Canis lupus familiaris: one gene and its partners. The protein of the gene in region 1 interacts with the protein of each later gene in a biochemical or structural test. Links are inferred from orthologs where the notes say so. Each region holds a gene or a part of one and is shown in the gene's direction. Other genes may lie near its edges.

Region 1 (6,396 bases):
CTGTAATTAACAAGTAATTTGCAGGCTGGTCCTTTGAGATTGTGTGAATATCTACTTCCTCCACTGAGGATCCTCGCCTGCATTAATTATTTCTCTACTGGCTGCAAAATGGGGATTTTCCAACTCAGTCTTTCCTTCTGCGTGTATTAGCTGGCATTCCAGATGTTTTTTTCCAAAGGGGACAGAGGTAGTAACACTGAAGTCTGAGCTCCCCAGCTTCTGGGCCTACTAGCCCTTTGAACTATAAAATTGGATAAAGAGTGGCTTGCTCTGTACCCTTGGGCAACACCCTCACCCCTCCTTAGGCACTTCCTCATCAGTCAACAGGTGGATTCAGGTGGATTCTGCTCAGGACTCTGCTGTCCCCATGGCCCCACATATTGTCCTCTTCGGGTTTGTAGAGGGCAGCTCAGATGCCAGGCACAAGCAGGGCAGTGGGTACAGTCCCACAGAGGCCCAGCCATAGCAACTGATCACTCAGTGGGGATGGCAGAGGTCAGCAGAACAGGAAGAGAAGGACAATAGCGGTGCCTGTTGCATCAACAGTGGCAGCGTTTGCCAGCTGGGTGGGGCCAGACTCGCAGCCCTCAGCAGCTAAGCCGGCCCCGCTCTCCTCTTTCAGTTTGCCTCTCTGTAGGCCCCGGTGGGGCTGGGATGCACAACAGCTCACCCTGGGGACTGCAGAGACCCAGTCATTCAATGAAGCCTGAGCAGAATTGCAGCTGTTAGAGGCCTCCAAGAACTACAATTCCCAGAACACACAGCAAGCTCCTGGTCCAGCCCCAACTGCCCCAGAGGCTGGCTTTGAAGTAGAGCAAGGATAGCTCATCTGTCCTGGGAACTGAGCATCCTGGTCTGTACAAGGTGCATCTGTGTCTTTGTTTCTTGGACCTACCCTTGCCTGAGACATCCCAGTCTCGGGGCCTCACCAAACCTGGTGATGGCGAGGTCACCTGGTCCTCTCATTCACACAAGTGCTCTGAGAGGCTGCTCACTGCCAGTCTCAGGACCCCAGCAGGGGTGAGGGGGCACTTAGATGGAGGAGACAGCCTCATGAAAGGGCAGAGGCTCGGAATGGTTGGGGACCCTTTACAACCTAGCACATATTATGTGTTCAGTAAATATTCACTGATTTAACCAACAAGCGAGCAGTCCATCTCGATCTTGTCTTCCTTCCATGCACCCTTTCACACAGTTTTGCTAGCTCCTAGGATATTGCACTCTCCCAAAATGTGTTGTATCTCTCAGTCCAGCTTTCAGGCCTTCTGCACGAGCTGTTACCTCCACCAGAAGCACATTCAGCTTATTCGCTTTAGTAGCTGCAGACGTAGGACAGAGCCTGGCACGGAGCAGGGGCACATGAAATATTTGACGAGTGAGGGAATGAATGAATGAATGAATAAATGCCCTTGTCCATTGTACACCCCAGGAAGCAGGGACACTCGGGACCCTCCCTATTCATCTCGCTCCTCCGCCCGCTCGCCCGCCCGGAATGAATGCATCCTTTTTATCCGCTCACAGGATGGCCAGGCTGGGGCAGGCGCAGACAGGGAGGAGGACTGGGATCGGGGGCTGCCCTCGGCCCCTTCCTAGGTCTCCTAAAGGGTCAGCTCTTCCGGACGTGGCGAGTTAGCCTCTGCCCGAAACTCGGCCCGCGTCACCTGACTCCCACGACCGGCCCTCCCGCTCCTTACCACCCTGGACACCCCAGACGGACACTCCGCCGGCAGCACGTGGGCCAGGGACCCCAGCTCCCCATTGGTTGCTCGCCTCCTTCCTTCCCCGCGATTGGCAGGGGCCCAGCCTCAGGTCCCCCCTCCGCGCCCTGCGGTGGTACAGCCTGCCGCGGCTTTCGGCAGGGTGGGCAGGTCCACTGCGCCGCGGCGCGGGGGGGCCGGGAGGAGCCGGGCGAGGCGGAGGGATCCCTCTGGAATGCTTCCGTCGGGCCCACCCGGCGCTGGGCGGCGCGGCGCGGATTGGCCACGGGCGTCGGGCGGCCGCTCCTGATTGGCGCGCTGCGGGCGCTGGCCCCGCCCCCCGGCCGCGGCTGCGGGAGAGGCCCGGGCCGGAGTTTGCGGAGGGCCGAGCCCGGAGCGCGCGGGTGGCGGCGGCGGCGGCGCAGGTGAGTGTCCCTGCGGGCGGGGCACGGCCGCTCCGGGGACCCCAGCGCGGGCCCGCGGGGTCGCGGACCCATGGGGATCCGGCGGATCGAGCGAGTAGCGGGGGGACGGCCCCGGGGTCGCTGCTGGAGGTCTAGGTTGGGCCCCAGGATGCCTGAGGCCCCTTCCCCCGGAGGCGCCCATCTTCCCGCCGGGGGCCGGGGTCAAACACCTCCCGCCTCTGAGATGGGGTCGGCAGCCCACCCTGCCCCCTGCACTGCCCTGGACAGCCCCGTCCCGGCGGGCTCGGCATTTCTGAGTCCTGCCCGGGCACCTCCCTCGTCCCACCTTGGCCTCGACGCGGCCCTCCAGGGCCGAGAGAGGGACCTGGAGAGGACTGAGGTCCCGGTAATAATCATGAAAAAATCACCCCCGGCTAGCACTGACTGGACGCTTCCGTGTCAGGTATTTACCATGCACATCGTTGCGTCCAAACACCTCATGGAAGGTGCTGTTACTTCTTTTAGAGGTGAAGCAACAGACCCGGAGAAGTGGAGTGACTTGCCCAAGGTGACACAGCTAGTAAGTGGCAGGGCTGGAACTCGAACCCGTGCTTCGGAGTCCAGAACTGGAGTCTCAGCCGCTAGACTAGATGGCTCCATGGATCAGTGGCCCAGTGGCTCCGTGGCTCAGGTGTTCCCGACCAGCTCCTCTGCCCGCTGCTGCCTGCATCCCCCAACCATGCATGTATCTGGGCCACACCTGCTGGTCTTTGCTTCCCCCCAAGAGGTCCCCGGACACCAACCCTGTCTTGCCTCCCCGGACCTGGGAAGGCTTGCCTGAATACCTAGGTCCTAAGAAGAGAGTGACATCTGCAGGGGACATAGGAGGCCTGGATGCTGGGGTCCTTTGCCCACTGGGCCCCTCTGGAAAGCCTGCGCTGAGGCCCAGGCAGTAGGCGTTCTCCCCGGAAACACCCGGGAGCCGGTTTTTCAAGACTGAATCAGAGGCCTCCCGCCTCCCTGCCTCCCGCCTCCCGCCCTCCCCTCCAAAGCAGTATCCTACTAGAAAGGGGAGGTTGGGTGTGGTGTCTCTCCCCCCACCCAAGCTTTTGTCAACTCCCAGGAACTCCCCTCCCCACTTCCTGCTGCCCTCACTGTGATTCTGCTTGGTGGTGGGGTTGCTAAGTTTCAGGCCCCTCCCAGGGAAGCGAGGGTGGGGATGCTAGGATTCCAGCCAATGCGCTTGGACCCCCGGCTGACACTTTTTCCACCATCCCTATGTTCAGGTTTGAGGGGACACTGGGAATGTGGGGAGGAAGTGTCAGTTAGCAACCCCACAGCAGGCATGTTCTGAGGATAGGAGGGCTCAGAGAGGAGTCTGAATGAGGACACGAGGCACGCACACCCGTCCATTCTGCAAACATTTACTGAGCACCTCCCATGGGCCAAGCACTGTCCTTGGCACAGAGGGCATAATAGCAAACAAGACAAAAATCCCTGCTCTGTGGGAGCCGCCGTCCTAGTGGGGAAAAGGGCAGCAAGCAAGTTAACAAGTAGATAAAGACAGTACCCGCGGATGGTAGTAAGTGCGTGTGCTATGAATAAAATATGAGGGGGGTGGCCGGGTGGAATCTGTGGTAAAGGGGGTGGCTTTTGGAGGAGGCGACTTTGGAGACAAGATCTAAATGACAGAAAGAAGGTGGCCCAGCAAAGGTCAGGCAGGGGGCCCAGCCTGGGCAAAAACTCTGAGGCTGGATGGAGCTTGGGATAGTGTGTGGGGGCACGAGCTGCCGCCAGAGTGGCAGTTCTGCAGGGGCCTGTGGCTCATATTAAGGAGTTTGGGGCTTTTCCTCTGTAAAGGTAGGAGACCGCTGTAAGATTGGAAGCCGGGGAGTGACGTGATCTGGTTTACATTTTAAAATAGAGACACGAAGTGAAATAGCAGCCTGGGACTGAAAGACAAGAGTTCTGCCGGGATAATGTGTAATTAAGTTCATGGGCCTTGAGCTGTCTGGACCACAGGGGCAGTTCCAGCAGGCTGGGGCAAGCCAGGGAGGCTGCCTGGAGGAGGCCACCTAGACTAGGCCTCCGCGGACAGCAGACAGCAGAAGCACAGACTGGGATGTTCCTGGGCGGTGGGGGGGGGGGGGGTGGGGTGGGCAGGGGAGGAGGCCATAATAATAATGACAATACTAGTAACAGTTTTCTTAAATTGAATGTCAGGCAAAATGCTAATCGGGTTGTCTGCACAATCTCTTTGGATTCCCATAAGCACCTGGAGAGAGACAGGAATTCCACCCATTTTTCGACTGAGAAAACTGAGGCTCCATCACATGAAGTGACACTTGCCCACGACCACGCAGCTGGTAAGTGGCAAGGATGGGATTTGAACCCAGGCCACCCTCCTTGGAGCTCAGAGAAGTTAAGATACTTGCCCAAGGTCACACAGCTAATAAGTGGAGAAACCAGGTTCCAGACTCATGTTCTCAGCATCCCGCTAAGATGTATGAGGGGCAGCAGGAGGAGAACAGGGGAGGTGATGATGAGGGGTTTGGTTTGGTTTGGTTTGAAGCATCACTGAGTGTGTTGTAATAATCTGAGGGGGCAGTATGGGTTTATTCATTCAGAATTTGTTTTTTATCAGATATTAGGTGAATGCTTAGTGTGATGTGTGCTATGGTTAGATGAAGTAATCAATAAAAGACTAGTATCCCAAATATGTAAACAATTCCCAAAAATCAATAAGAAAAAGATAAAGGCAGGGCAGCCCAGTGGCTCAGCAGTTTAGCGCCACCTTCAGCCCAGGGCTTGATCCTGGAGACGCAGGATCGAGTCCCACATTGGGCTCCCCGCATGGAGCCTGCTTCTCCTTCTGCCTGTGTCTCTGCCTTTCTCTGTCTCTGTGTCTCCCATGAATAAATAAATAAAATCTTAAAAAAAAAAAGAAAAGAAAAAGATATAGGCATTACAATAAAAAACAAACTGTGCAATTTTTAAAAATGGGCAAAGACTTAGACAATTCACAAAACGACAAATCCAAGCAGTTAATAAATGTCTTAAAAGTTGTTAAGCATTACTCAGTGGTTGAGCGTCTGCCTTTGGCTCAGGGCATAATCCTGGGGTCAAGGGATCAAGTTCTGCATCAGGCTCCCCGCAGGGAGTCTGCTTCTTCCTCTGCCTATGTCTCTGCCTCTCTCTGTGTATGTCTCTCATGAATAAATACAATCTTTAAAAAAAAAAGCTGTTAAGCCTGGAGTGCCTGGGTGGCTCAGTTGGTTAAGCGTCTGACTCTTGATTTCAGCTCGGGTCATGATCTCAGGGTTGTGAGATCAAGCCCCACATCAGGCTCCACACCGGTTGTAGAGCCTGCTTAAGGTTCTCCTCCACCACCACCCCAACCTTTCCCTGCCCCCATGGAAAAAGAAAAAAGTTGTTCAGCATCCTTGATTATGAAGGGAGTGAAAACAAAACCATGATGAAAGGTGAGGGAGAAATCAGTGTGGCTAGAAGGAGCACCTACCCTGTCCCCAGCACTATGCTGGGAAGCAAGGGATGAGGACCACAGGGGGGCGCTTGCTCTTTTGCTGGTGAGACAAGACCCCCTTGGGGCAGGGACTATAGCCTGGGTCCTTCTGTCTCCCCAAAGCCAGGCACAGGGACTGATGGGCTGATGAATATTAGGATCATTCATCTATACGTTCATTCAACAAGTATTTATTGAGCACCTGCTATGCACCAGGCAGTGTTCTCTGTGCTAAGAGTATAAGGATGCATAAGGCAGACAAAATTCCTTGCCTTTCGGAAAACAGCAGACAAGAATAGTGGATGAAATATATATCCCATTGCATTGAAAGAGATGCGAGGATGAGTTGTGTGGATGCCAGAAGGCAGAGTCAAACGCAGAAGCACTGAGCCTAGGAGGCTGAGTGTGCCTCAGAGGGATGAGCAAGGCGGAGAGTGGGTGAAGGTGAGGGCAGGGAGGCCATGGGGGCAGATCTCTTGGGGCCTGTGGGTCGAAAGGAGAATGTTGACTCTTACTCTGAAGGAGGTAGAAGCCCTGGGAGGGGTTGGAGCAGAGGACGGATGTGACGTGACTTCTGTTTTACAGGATCATTCTGGCTGCTCTGTTGACACAGACCGTGGAGGGCGAGGGCAGAAGCCGCCGACTCCCAGGAGGCAACTGCACTAGTGTAGGTGAGAGACGCTGGGGCTGGAGCAGGTGCTCCTGGAGGTGGTGTTGGGAGAGCAGGCGCATCAGTGCAGCAGCCAAGGAGTGGAGGCCTGAGAGTGGGTGC
Region 2 (6,579 bases), on another chromosome or scaffold:
TTAATCCTCCAAATCTAGCAAGCGAGTGTGCTCAGGTATAGATACTGCAGATAAAGAGGCACAAAAGATGCTCCCCCCCCCGCCGCCCCCAAACTGCATGAGTTTGGGGTTGCATTGAGAAAATGAGACCTTCTGGTGGAAAAGAGCGTGGATGTGTGAATTTGCATCCACTTGGTGGACCGTGCTCGGTCAGTGGCCCCGCATTCCCATCCCCGCCCTCTCTCTGCTCCCCTCCCTCGCGTTCTCGCTCCATTCTCTGCGCCCCCCCCCCCACCCGCGTTATTCTGGGATTAACGGCGGGGTCGGCCTCAGACACAGGCGCAGCTGGCTCCTACGGTCAGCCCGAGCCCTGCTGTGCAACCACGTCAGGAATTCCAGCAAGTTGGCAACACTGGAGCACAAAGACAGTAACAATGGGGAAAACCCTTCAGTGCAGAAAGGAATGTTCGGAGCCCTGGCGGCCGCAGTGAAAGGACACACACTCACACACTCACACATGCACTCGCATGCACGCGCGCCCTCCCGCCCCCCACACGCCCACGCGCGCCCTGGGCGCCCCCAGCCCCTGGCGCCCGCCGCAGCTCTCCGTGGCCCGCGGTGCGGGGACGCTCAGGGACTGCAGCGCGGCCCGGGCGGGCGTCGGGGCCGCCTGACCCCGGCGGTCTCGTACCACCGCCCCGGGCGCCCGGAACCGGCATAAATCACCCGCGGAGACCAAGTGCCGCCCGCCGCATCCTCCTCCCCTCCCGGACCCCCGCGCCCCCCGGGCCCCCAGTCCTGCGTCCTCCTCGGCGCGGAGCCAAGTATCGTTCCGGTGACTCGGGGCGGAGCAGGGACCTCTGGGTTGCCCAGTCCCGGCATCTCGGAGAGAGAGCGCGAGCGGCTGCCGCAGCCCTGCTCTCCCTCGGTCCGGGTTTCCTCTCTCCGCGTCTGTTTGTCCCCCTTTTTGTCTTTCTAAAGTAACACCTCGGTTCCCCCTCCGTCTTCCCTGCAAAGTGCAGCAGTCGCCGGAGCCCAAGGAGGTGCGCGGTCCGTGCTGCCAGGGGCCAGCAGAGCCCAGACGCCGGGGCTCCGGGGACGGGGGTGGCTGACGCCGGCAGGCTCTCGGCCCCGGAGAGGCGAGGCGGCGGCGCCCTGCCCGGGTCTCTAAGTCAGCGCGGGGCCCCGGGTGGAGGGACCGGGCTCCTGGGGCCCCGCCGCCGGGCTAATGCAGAGCCCAGCACTGGGGGGTGGGGCGCGCCCCGGCCCCTTCCCACAGACAGGGATCCCCGGGCCAGGGAGTCAGTGGCCTCCCCCTTTTCCCCTGTCGGCCCTGGTGTCACGCCCCGCGCGAGGACGAGGCTCCGACGGTGAGGTTCGCTCCGAGGGCTCTTGGGGGCCGGAGCCCCCGGGCTGTGTCCAACGCTGCCTTCTAGGAAGGAGCGGCAGGGCTTTCTCAACGCCCTCGTATAAAGAGGCGCCAGTACGATCGCAAGACGTTCCTTCTTTGCAATTTTGCTCCAAATGCCAGAGATTTGTAAGAAACGCGATCTGGCGGCGACACGTGTGTCTCTTCTGCTTAAGACAACGAAACAAGGATCCCACCCTCCCCCCAACGTCGATTTACGCCTCTCTGTAAAAAACAGTGAACACCCCATCTCGGGGTCTCCACTCTATGGGGGGGGGACCGGGGTGTCCACGAAGCCTAGGGATTTCAGGCTAGAGAATGGTCACAAGTCCCCCCCCGCCCCGCAGGCTCTTAGTCCCTCTAATTCCGCCCCCCCCCCTTCCTCCTCTTATTTTTCTTCCTTTTACGGGCTGCCTCGCGGACCCCTTCGCGGGGAGGCTGGGGCGCCGCTTGGCCGTGCAAGTGTCGGGCGAGCGCTCGCCCGTGAGCGTGAGACTGCGAGGGGTGTGCAGACGCTGCGAGCGCAACTGAAGTGTGCGTGCACGTGTCGGTGTTTGTGTGAGTGTGGGATGCGCGCACGCGCGCGCGTGTGTGTGCGGCCTCGGAATGTGCGTGCCGGCACGCCAGCGGGCGTGCGAGAGGGACTGGCAGGTGGCGTGACCGTGAGGGGAGTGCGCGACTGTGTGTGTGACGCTGTGTGAGGACGTGTGCGAGTGTGAGCGCACGTGTGTTCGAGTCCCTCGCGCTGCCGGCGCCGCGAAGCGCAGGGGGCGGGCCGGGCGGCAGGGGGCCTGCCCCGCCGGATTCCCGCATGCTAGTTCCGGGGCGGCCGGGTCTCCGGGGCTTTCTGCGCGGTCCGGAGGGTGGGGACTGGCGCGGGTAGAAAACGGGATGCCCCGGGCGCCGGGCCCGGCTTTCCGCCGCTAGGAGCCGGCCGAGGCGCAGGCCTCCGGGAGCGCTCGCGGGCAGAGGCGCGGCGGCTGCGGCGGCGGCTGCGGCGGGCTCCGCGCGCCCACCTCCCGGGGAAGGAACGGCGAGGCCGGGCCCGGACGGCGCGGGGATGGAGCGCGGGGCGCGGGCCGTGGCGTGCACGCTGCTGCTGGCCCTAGCCGCCTGCCTGGCGCCGGCCCGTGGCCAAGGTAAGCGCCTGCCCGCCCGAGTTCCGCGCACAGCCCGGCACCACCCCGGCGGCGGCGGCGGCGGCCCGGGTCCGCGAGCGCACTTGCGGGGACCGCGGCCGGGCGGGGGCGGGGGCGGGGGCGGGGGCCGGGGCAGGGCGGCGGCCCCCGGGCGGCTCCCGCCGGGGCGCTCAGGTTGCTCCGCCCGGGGCCAGCGGGAGCAGCCCTCCTCCGCCCGCCCGCCCGCCCGGCATCCGAGCGGCCGCAAACCTGAGAAAGTAGCCCGGCCGGTTTCGGTGACAGCGCACCCCGCGGGGACCCCGTCTTTGTTCCGGCGGGACTTTGCCCCCGACCGTGTCGGGAGCCCCTGTGCAGCTGGAGCCCGGGGGCTGGGGTCCCCCCGGCCGGCGCGCAGTGGGCTGGGCGAGCGCGGAGGCTCCCGGCGGGGGGCGCGGGGCGGGGGGTCCCGACCCCCGCGGCGCTGCCCGGCGCGCCCCCCGCCACCTGCCGCGCTCCCCCGCGGGAGCAGCCCCCCTCCCCGGCGAGGCGAGGCGAGGCGAGGCGAGGTCCCGCGGCCACCCTCCGGGGAGCGCGTCTCCTTACAGATGCTTTACGAGCCCAGATGAGGCCGGGAGGCGGGATTGGCGCCGAGAGCCGCACCGCCGCTGGGGCGTTTTCTGGAGGGGTTTCCCTTTTCAGCCGGGGGTGGGGGGGCCGGGGGTGGGGGGGCTTTTGTGTTGCTGAATGAGGCCGCGTCTGCGCGCCCGGAGTTTTCAGGGCTCGAATGGAGGAAGTTTCTGGTAGGAAGCCCTTGAGAAAGCCTCTCAAGTTGTCAGAGGTTTACGAGTCTACAGGAACGGGCCGAGCAAAGAAAGGGAGGAAGACGTGGAGGGGGTAAAAGGGAGTAAAGGGGGAGAGAGAAGAGGAGTAGGAGCGAGCCGGGAGAGGGGACGGGAGCGGCAGGGCGGCGCGCTCCTGGGGGGCGGGGGCGGGGGCGGCGGCGGCCCGGGATGAATGGGAAGCGCGCGGAGGCGGCGGGGGCGGCGAGCTGGCTGCGGGCTTCGCGTTGCTAGGTAGCGGCCCCGAGCTGCGTGTGACCGACCACCAGACAGACAGAGCGGACGCCGCTGCCTGCGCGGGGGCTAATCTGTCTGTGCGGATGGGAGCGCTCTCCCCCCACCCCGTCCCCCCTCCTGCTCCTTCCTTCCCGTCCGACAACTTAATTGCCCTACAATGAAAATGAAACCCCTATTGTGGTAGGATTAGCCCAAGCAATAAATTGATTTCCCTGGATCACATATTGGGGTTGATGGGTGGGGACTGTAGAACCCGCCCCCCCCACCCCCCCATCTACGGCGGAGAGAGGGGAAAGCCTGTGGATGGGCCGTGGCTTGTATTCAGATGGTTAATCTGCTTTCTTTCCTCAATTCTTAGCGTAAGCTCCTTAGAGGGAATCAACTAAGTAATTATACAGCAACTCCTAGCAGTACCCATTTCAGACTTCCTGGGAAGAAGTTTGGAAACGCCAACAAACCCCACTGGTCTTGTAAAAAAAAAAAAAAAAAGATCTTTGGAAAGGGAGGGGAGGCAGGGGGAGACCGTTAATAATTCTTGCTTTGAACACCTTTTTTTTCTCAGTGTTGGTAACACAGAGAGAGGATTTATTATTACTGCGGAGGCTTTGCCGCCGCGCTTCGGGTGATCTACATCCTACGTCCTAAATATAGCCATAGGATTTACTATATGTTCCTGTCAGTGCCTGGCAAGGGGAAATCTTGTCCGCATTCATCTGGGATACATCTGGATTGTCCCCATAGAATGAAAACTGACATTTTCTCCCCTGGATTGGTGGTTTAGTCACCAAATAAACTGCACTCACTCTTCCGTCTTCTATAATAATATGTAATAATAATATGTGCGGTAAGAGGTGCTTATCAGACACTTCTGTTTGCGGCAGGTGCTGTTTTAAGTGCTTTATACTTACTAGTCTTTATAATACCACTTTGATGGTAAGTGTTCTTACTCTCCGCATTTTACTGATGGGAAGTAATGTGCCCTGGGTCATACTGCTAGAAAATGGCAAAGCTGGGAGGCTAATCCAAGGGATTCTGAGTCCAGAGGCTATAATTTAACCGCCCTGGTAGGTGACTCGCTCCTCTATCTGCCCGTCTTTTTTCTTTTGTACTAAAAATGTCACGCTCCCTGGGTTACTACCCATGCATGAGGTTACTAAAGAAGCTGAGTGGCATTTTACAATCTTTGCCACAAAAGGTAAAAATCTACCTGCTGGGCCATAACTCTGGATATTTTTTTTTTTTTTTCAGAAATTCTTTTCAGGTTTCTGTCACCTGACCCCAAGTATCTATCACCTGACCCCAAGTATCCTCACTCTCAGTCTTCCTACTTGTCCCCTGGATAGCCTCAGCCTGGAAGGTTAAGGAGATTTCTAGATTCTTGTTGTATTGACTTATCCTGTTGTAAAGTGTGAGGACACTGTCCTTATTTTAGCATACGTTTTAGGTAAGATCTTCCTGCAGAGTTTGCATCATTAGAAATTGGAACAGAGCTCTGGGTATTTTATGGTTAGTCTTAAAAAAATTATAGCATATCCATAGCTAAAATTATTTGTATTTTCTTCATATTTTGTATAATGCTTTTAAGAAAAATTGGGAGAGCCTGAACTCTGGAGTCAAGCGGTCAGGGTTCCAGCAATGACTTTACCACTTTCCAGCTGTGTCACCCTGGGGAAGTCACTAAACTTTCATGGCTCAGATTGGTTATCTGCAAAATTGATGTGATAACCGGAGAATTTGTTCCATGGCATTTTATTAAAACATAGAGATAAAAGTGCTTAACATGTAAGGCCTCTAGACAGTGATCATAAATGGCAGCAACTATTACATTGACCGACACTGAAGGTAACACTGTTTTTTTTTTTTTTTTGCTTACTATTCATATTTCTAATTTCTAAGTGCACATAAAGAAGTCTTAGGCATTTTTCACTAACATTTCTTTGAGGAATTCCCAGATCCCAGAATATGACTGGAAGTTTTTTTGAGAGAATGGTATCGATTTAAACAAAGTTCTAGTCTGTCCTCCAATAGAAGCTTGGTTATGCCTTTCGTAGTGTCAGCTTTATGACAATTACATCTTCAGGTAAAGTTTATATATTTAAAAGGATGATGGGGGGCAGCCTGGGTGGCTCAGTGGTTTAGCGCCGCCTTCAGCCCAGGGCGTGATCCTGGAAACCCAGGATTGAGTCCCATGTCGGGCTCCCTGCATGGAGCCTGCTTCTCCCTCTGCCTGTGTCTCTGCCTCTCTCTCTCTCTCTCTCTGTTTCTCATGAATAAATAAATAAAATCTTAAAAAAAAAAAAAAAAAAAGGATGATGGGGCCAGTAACAAGCATGCAACATTTTGGTCCTATTACACTCTGATACTGCCCCTGCTGGTCTTATTTCACAGCAGTTGGCTTCTTTTTCTCTGCTTGAAGTTCTTCCTAGCCAGTTTTTTGTAGGGCTTTTGCTCAAACTCCTTTCAATCTTGTGCCTATTCTGTTTTAATGGAAACTTAGGCTCTTACAGATGGAGGCAATCTTAGCTATCAGCTGGTCTACTTGCATTATTTTATAGATAAGCAACTAAACCCTGGAGGAGAGGAGAGGGGATTGAAAGGAGTGAAAGGGGGGAGGTGAAGCCCTTTTCCTAAGGTCATGTGGCCAGAGGTTAGAGCTAAGATCTAAACCCCATCTCCTCTTTGTGTCTTTCTAATTGATCATTTTAAGATACACTTACTTAGAATGTCCTCAGCCTGGTTGGTTGAGGAGGCCTCTAGATAGTTTTTCTGTTGATCCTGACCTGTCATATGAGGCCAACTATGATGAAAAGATCACCTTGGCCAATCCTCTTAAAAAATTGGATAGGTCACATGTCTCAGGTTTAAGAAGAATCTCAAGTTTAAGAGGATAGGTTAATACAGCCATGTACCATGTGCTTTCAGTTTGGTCCAGAATTTATGCCATATCAGTGCTCCAATTTTCAAAGATCATACTTCTGGATCTGTTTTTCAAAATCTT
Region 3 (6,566 bases), on another chromosome or scaffold:
AGCACGCCAGCACCCCGACATCCCAGCATCCCAGCACACTGGCACCGCATCATCCCAGCATCCCGGTGCCTCCGCACCCCGGCATCCCGACATCCCAGCATCCCAGCACCCTGGCATCCCAGGACCCCGGCACCCCGGCATCCCAGCACCCCGACATCTCAGCACTCCAGCATCCCAGCACCCCGGCATCGCAGCATCCAGGCACCCCAGGATCCCAGCACCCTGGCATCCCGGCATCCCAGCACCCCATCACCCTAGCATCCCGGCACCCCAGCATCCCACCACCCCAGCATCCCAGCACCCCGGCATCCCACCACCCCGGCATCCCACCACCCTGGCAACCCAGCATCCCAGAAACCTGGCATCTGGCATCCCGGCACCCCAGCATCCCAGCACCCCAGTACCCCGGCATCCCAGCACCCCAGCATCCCAGCACCCTGGCACCCCAGCACCCCAGCATCCCAGCACCCCAGCATCCCGGCACACCAGCACACCAGCACCCCGGCACCCCAACATCCCAGCATCCTGGCACCCCAGCACCCCGGCATCCCGGCACCCCAACATCCCGGCATCCCAGCACCCCAACATCCTGGCACCCCAGCATCACAGCATCTTAGCATCCCGGCACCCCAGCATCTCAGTACCTCAGTACCACAACACCCCAGCATCTCGGCATCTGGGCACCCCAGCATCTGGGCACCCTGGCATCCCAACACCCTGGCATCCCACCATCCTGGCACTCCAGTATCCCAACACCCCGGCGTCCAGCATCCTGGCACCCCAGCACCTCAGCATCCCAGCATCCTGGCATCGCAGCACCCCGGCATCCTGGCACCCCAGAACCCCAGCATACCAGCACTCCAGCATTGCAGCACTCCAGGACCCCAGTACCCCGGCATCCCAGCATCCCAGCACCCTGGCATCCCGGCACCCCGGCACCCCAGTATGCCAGCACCCCGGCATCTCAGCACTCCAGCATCCCGGAATCCTGGCAACCCAGCATCCCAGCATCCCGGAATCCCGGCATCTGGCATCCCAGCACCCCAGCATCCCACCACCCTGGCACCCCAGCATCCCAAAAACCTGGCATCTGGCATTCCGGCACCCCAGCATCCCGGCATCCCGGCACCCCAGCATCCCAGCACCCCAGCACCCCGGCATCCCACCACTCTGGCACCCTGGCATCCCAGCACCCCGGCATCCCAGCACCCCGGCACCCCAGCACCCTGGCATCCCAGCACCCTGGCATCCTAGCACCTCGGCACCCCAGCACCCCGGCACCCCAGCATCCCAGCACCCTGGCATCCCGGCACCCCGGCATCCCGGCATCCCAGCACCCTGGCATCCCGGCACCCCAGCATCCCAGTACCCTGGCATCCCGACATCCCAGTACCCTGCATCCCGGCATCCCAGTACCCTGGCATCCTAGCACCTCGGCACCCCAGCACCCCGGCACCCCGGCATCCCGGCATCCCAGCTCCGCGGCATTCCAGCACCCCGGCATCCCGGCACCCCGGCATCCCAGCACCCCGGCACCCCAGCATCCCGGCACCCCAACATCCCGGCATCCCAGCACCCTGGCATCCCAGCACCCTGGCATCCCAGTACCCTGGCATCCTAGCACCTCGGCACCCCAGCATCCCAGCACCCTGGCATCCTAGCACCTCGGCACCCCAGCACCCCGGCACCCCAGCATCCTGGCACCCTGGCACCCCGGCATCCCGGCATCCCAGCTCCGCGGCATTCCAGCACCCCGGCATCCCAGCACCCCGGCACCCCAGCATCCTGGCACCCCAACATCCCGGCATCCCAGCACCCTGGCATCCCAGCACCCTGGCATCCTAGCACCTCGGCACCCCAGCACCCCGGCACCCCAGCATCCCGGCACCCCCCCCCCCCCCCCCCCCGGCGCACCTCCAGCCCGGGCTCCCGCGGTCCGTGCGCGCAGCCGGGCCCACCTCTGGGGCACCCATCACCGCCGAGCGAGGCGCGTGGGAGGTCGGCCCTCCGCGTGGGGGTCCCGGAGCGCTGTGCTTAGTGACCGGGTCAGCGGCGGGGCCTGGGCGCGGGGGCGGGGGCGGGGGCGGGGGCGGGGGCGGCCGGGCCCCTCGACAGGGCCGGGGCGCGCCGACCACCGGGGCCGGGGAGGGCCGAGGGCCCCTGGGGCGCGCGGCGGCGGGAGGGCGGGCGCGGGCCCCCGCGGGAGCGCCCGGGGCTGCAGGTGCGGGGACCCGCCTCCTCGGGAGGCCGCGGAGCCCGGGGCGGGGGCGGGGCGGGGGTGCGCGGGGCGGGGCGGGCCGGACGCCTCCCCGCGCGAGGAAGTCCCGGCCCCGCGCTTTGGGGAAGTGCGGCCCGCGCCTGCGCACTGCGGCCCGCGCCCCCTCCCCGACCGGCGGCCGGACCTGTGCGCGGGGCTGCGGCGGCGGCGGGGCCGGGAGCGCGGCCGGTGAGTGCGCGCGGGGGGTCGGCGGCCGGGGGGGGCGGCTGGAGCCCGGACCGCGCCGCCGGGACCGCGGGCCCACGTGGACCCGGGCGGCGGCGGGAGCGGAGCCGGTGCCCCGCGCGGGGGGAGGGGGCGCCGCCACCGGTTCCCCTTTCTGCAGCTCGGAGCCCGGGGAAGTGATTGCTCAAGGGGGGGCCGGAAGAGCCCCGGTTTCCGCGCCTCCCGCCCCCGGCCCGGTGGGGAGGGCCCGGCGGGACGCCCTGCGCGCCCCCGCCCCGCGCCTGGCAGCCGCTCGCTCGGGGCTGGCCGGGCTGACCGGGGCTCCCGCCGCCTCCACACCCCGCGGAGGGCCTCCCGCCCGCGGACCCGGGTCGCTGCAGCGCGCCCTTCGGCAGCGGGTGGGGCCCCGCGGGAACCGGCCCTCCCGCCCGCGCCTCGCCCCTGGGCCGATGGTGAGTGGGGCGCGCGGCCAGGCCCCGGGGGCGTCGGGCCCGAGTCGGAGCCGCGCCCCCCGGGCAGACCCCGCAGCGGCGGGAGGAGGAGGGAGACGGGTCGGCGGCACCGCGGCCCTGGGGGCGGGCGAGGGTCCCCGGGCCACAGAGGTCGGGCCCAGGCCGGGGCCGCCCCACCCATCGCTCGGGGCGGGGGCGGGGCGGGGGGCGGCCGAGGGGAGGCAGGGGCGCCAGAAGCAGGGGAAGGAGCCCCTGTCAACCCTCCGCCTAAAGGTTATGGCATTTTTTTCTGGGATTGTCACATTTTCTTATTCTTTTTTTGGACTGGGCGGGCTCAGGGACGTTCTTTTTCCTTCTGTGGAGCAGAGTAGCAGCAGCTCCCAAGGGAGCCTCGGTCCCCAGAGGCCAGGCTCGCTGCCCGTCCAGCCTCCCCCATCCCAGACTTGGGGGCCAGAGCCCAAGGGCTGGGAAAGGGGACCGAGCCCCTTTCCAGCTGCCAGGCGGAGGGGCAGGAGCCCTGTGCACACCCCGGGCGACCTCAGGAGACAGCGGGTGAACAGGAGACCCCGCCAGCCCCGGGCCAGTGTAGGCATCCACTCCAGGACCCCCAGCACGTGGGCGCCCTCAGACCTGGCCCCTCCTCCAGTTCAGAGCAGAGCCTTGGGGTGCCAGGGAGTGGAGGGGGATGGGGCCCTGCCCCCACTCGCAGCGGGTAGGGGTGCGGAGGAGGAAGAGCAGTTCTCTGCCTGGCTACCAGACCTCGGGGGTTGCCACACCCCTTCCCTTCCCTACAAGCTAGACCCCTGAAGGAAAGGCGGGCTGGGGCCCAGTTTGAGGGTTCCCCGTCCATGTCCATGATTTCAGGGGAAGCAGGCAGCTGGCCAGGGCCCTCAGCCCAGGGGACCCCACACTCTGCCCTAGATCTGGGTCACGGCAGGGCCTCTGCGTGCCCAGGCCCCAGAGGCAAGGGTGCCCTGAGCGTGCCTGAGTCAGGCCCTGCACCTCTGAGCACGGCTCCCGGCGCCCCCGGCATCCCCGCCGCTCCCTCCTTCCCACCTGCGAGACCCCAGCAGCCAGCAGGCCACGTGGGCCAGGCGGGGGTTGAAAGGCCACAGGCCCAGGGGTGATGTGATAATTACATGAGAAAACGAAGTGAAAGCAAGTCCTGAGCCTGCTGGCCACCGGGACGGGGGTGGGGGCAGGCCTGGGGGGTCACAAAGGCTGTGCGGGGGTGCAGCCGGGCCCTGGGGTCCTCACCCCGGCCAGGGCAGGCAGAGGCAGGTGCTGTGGTGGGAAAGCATTCAGACTGCCCCTGGGGCACTGATCGGCCACCCAGGTGTGGACTCTGGGATCCGCATGGACTCTGGGATCCGTGGTTGGCCTTGGGGACGGAAGGGGGGGGCTGGGGGGCTGCTCGGGCTCCTCACCCCCGCTGGGGGCTTCAGGGCCCAGTGCCCCCTGCACGCCTGCACCTTGAAACGTGGGCACAGGCATTGTAAACAATGCCGACCCGCACCCCGTCTGGGGATCCCGCACCTTGACCCTGGGAGCTGGACACCCCGACCCATTGCTGCCCTCCTCCCCGCTCCCCTCCCTGACTGGCACCCCAGGCTGCACTGGCTTCCACCGCCTGGTGGGGCTGGGGGAAGGGAGGCTGGGAGGCCCTGGGTGTGGTAAGGTGCCCGCTGGGGGTTGGGGTGCCAGGGGCAGCGTCTGGGCCTCAGGAGCCCTGCATCCCCCACGAGGCGCCTGGCCCTCCTCACTGTGCCCTGCTGCATTCCCCACACCCCCAGACCCTCAAGTCCTGCCCCACACGCAGGCTGCAGGCTGGGCAGCTGCGAACAGGCTGGAACCCTCCGGGGCTGAGGGCAGATCTGGGCACCTGGGGGGGGGCAAGCCCTCCCCACCTCGCCCACTCCCTACAGAAAACCCAGAATGGAGGGAGCATTAGGCTGATAGCCCCAGACTCTTGGGGCCCCCCAGGCCCCTTGGGAGGGGCCAGGAGCCGGAAACCAAGAAAGAGGAACCCAGACTTCCGGCTTCCCAGGGACCGAGCAAACGGGGGTGTCCCAGAACCTCCTGTGGAGATCTTGTCTGGCTCCTCCTCACCGCCCCTGCCCTTGCTCGCAGTCCCGGTGCAGGTGGGGGCAGGGGAGCAGGCCCCTCGGGCTCCTGGGCGGAGGGAGAGGCAAGTAGAGACTGTCGTCTCAGGTTCTCAGCGGGAACCCCCACCTCTCTTCTCAGACCCCCAGGCTGTGGTGAGGGTCCCGGAGCCAGCACCACGGAGCCCGGGCGACCTCCTCCACCCACCCATGCCCACCCCGCATGAGGCTGAGAAGCAGGTGCACCACCTCCACCCCTGCCTCTGCCCCCTTGTGGGAACCGGGGCGGGGGGACGAGGAGTTGGGGGACCCTCGACTGCCTGGGAGGCCGGAAGGGTGACACCAGGGGAGTCGGGGGGAGGTGTGCAGGCCCCAGGTTCTGGGCTGGAGCTGAGGAGGCCCCCGTGTCGCCAGCACGCAGGGCCAGAGGAGGCAGGCCGGCCCCCCTCGATGTCCAGTCATGACGCGGCCCCCCCGGCTGCCCCCAGCCGCAACCCCTGCTGCTTGTGCTGGTGTTGCTGTTGCAGCTGCTCCTGGTACGTGGGGACGGCGGGGGGGGGGGGGGGGGGCGGGGGTGTACACACCTGGTACGTGGGGATGGGGGAGGGGAGGGGTACACACCTGGGGCCCAGCGTCCTGCCCGCAGACCCTCCGGTGCCTTCCCAGGGGCCACCCGAGGGCAGGACGCCTCTGCTGCCCACGGCTCTCACGCAGGGGCTGCCGGGCCTGCTGACTGTGGCCACTGCCCCGACACCGTGTAGGCCTTCGTGCCCGGCGGCTCCCCCAAGGGCGTGTCGTGTGCACACCTGGCCAGGCCACCGCCTGTGTGCTCAGCCGGAGCTGGCCCCGGGGGCCTACGGAGCAAGGAGCCCTTGGGGGACACCGAGCAGGGCCCCGGCCTGGGGGCGAGGGGGAGAGCGTCCCGAGCAGCTCCCTAGGGTGGGCCCCACGGTCACCGGCTCTGTGGCCTGTGGAGGGCTGTCGGGGGCGTGCACGTGCCACAGAGGCCTGGCCCAACTTGGGTGCTGTGGGGACCTGGAGGGGGACCCGCTGAGCCGTGAGCACCCAGGCCTGAGCGGGGACGGGGTCGTGAATCGGGCCTCGCAGAGGACTCGGCTGTGGGGTCCAGCGGGTGGGGTAGGAGAGGAACGGAGGCCTGTGTGGGAGCTAGGGTTGAGAGGTCGTGACCCCGGGGAGGGACGGACGCAGGCAGGGCCGGCCGGGGCTTTCCTGCAGCAGGAGCAGCGCCTCTGGGGGCGCGGGGCGGGGGACGGCCAGGGAGACAGAGGAAGGGGTGGGGCTGGAGTGCAGCCTGGGTCCCAGGGGTGGGGGTGGGGGGCTGCCCGGCTGCGGCCCGGCCCGCGCCCTCACGCCCCGCGTCTGGGCCCGTGCGTGCACACGCGTGGGCCGAGGCCGGGTGCGCCGGGCAGGCCGTGCCACCTTCCGTCTGCGCCAGGAACGAGGAGCGGCGGCGTGCGTGGCGGGCCTCCCGGGACAACAAGCTGCAGCCCCTGCCCAGCTGTGAGGCGTGGTAGGTGCGGCCGGCGCGGGCGGGGGGGGGGGGCGCGG

What was found.
Region 2: the proteins of GIPC1 (region 1) and LRP2 form a complex in vitro, tested with the Homo sapiens proteins (2 studies listed by BioGRID). The link is inferred for Canis lupus familiaris from reciprocal best matches to the Homo sapiens genes GIPC1 and LRP2.
Region 3: the proteins of GIPC1 (region 1) and RGS19 form a complex in vitro, tested with the Homo sapiens proteins (2 studies listed by BioGRID). The link is inferred for Canis lupus familiaris from reciprocal best matches to the Homo sapiens genes GIPC1 and RGS19.

The regions. Positions count from the first base shown.
Region 1 is NC_049241.1:48,542,104-48,548,499, forward strand, and holds the start of GIPC1 (PDZ domain-containing protein GIPC1), read left to right. Parts: upstream 1-2,028; 5' UTR 2,029-2,122; intron 2,123-2,626; 5' UTR 2,627-2,681; intron 2,682-4,324; exon of another isoform or gene 4,325-4,373; 5' UTR 4,374-4,467; intron 4,468-6,209; 5' UTR 6,210-6,295; intron 6,296-6,396. UniProt on the Homo sapiens protein: May be involved in G protein-linked signaling.
Region 2 is NC_049257.1:14,404,585-14,411,163, reverse strand, and holds the start of LRP2 (low-density lipoprotein receptor-related protein 2), read left to right. Parts: upstream 1-2,405; 5' UTR 2,406-2,447; coding exon 2,448-2,526; intron 2,527-6,579. UniProt on the Homo sapiens protein: Multiligand endocytic receptor. Acts together with CUBN to mediate endocytosis of high-density lipoproteins. Mediates receptor-mediated uptake of polybasic drugs such as aprotinin, aminoglycosides and polymyxin B.
Region 3 is NC_049245.1:48,361,050-48,367,615, reverse strand, and holds the start of RGS19 (regulator of G-protein signaling 19), read left to right. Parts: upstream 1-2,392; 5' UTR 2,393-2,446; intron 2,447-2,772; exon of another isoform or gene 2,773-2,892; coding exon of another isoform or gene 2,893-2,895; intron 2,896-3,218; exon of another isoform or gene 3,219-5,139; 5' UTR 5,140-5,207; coding exon 5,208-5,237; intron 5,238-5,411; coding exon 5,412-5,533; intron 5,534-6,453; coding exon 6,454-6,528; intron 6,529-6,566. UniProt on the Homo sapiens protein: Inhibits signal transduction by increasing the GTPase activity of G protein alpha subunits thereby driving them into their inactive GDP-bound form. Binds to G-alpha subfamily 1 members, with the order G(i)a3 > G(i)a1 > G(o)a >> G(z)a/G(i)a2.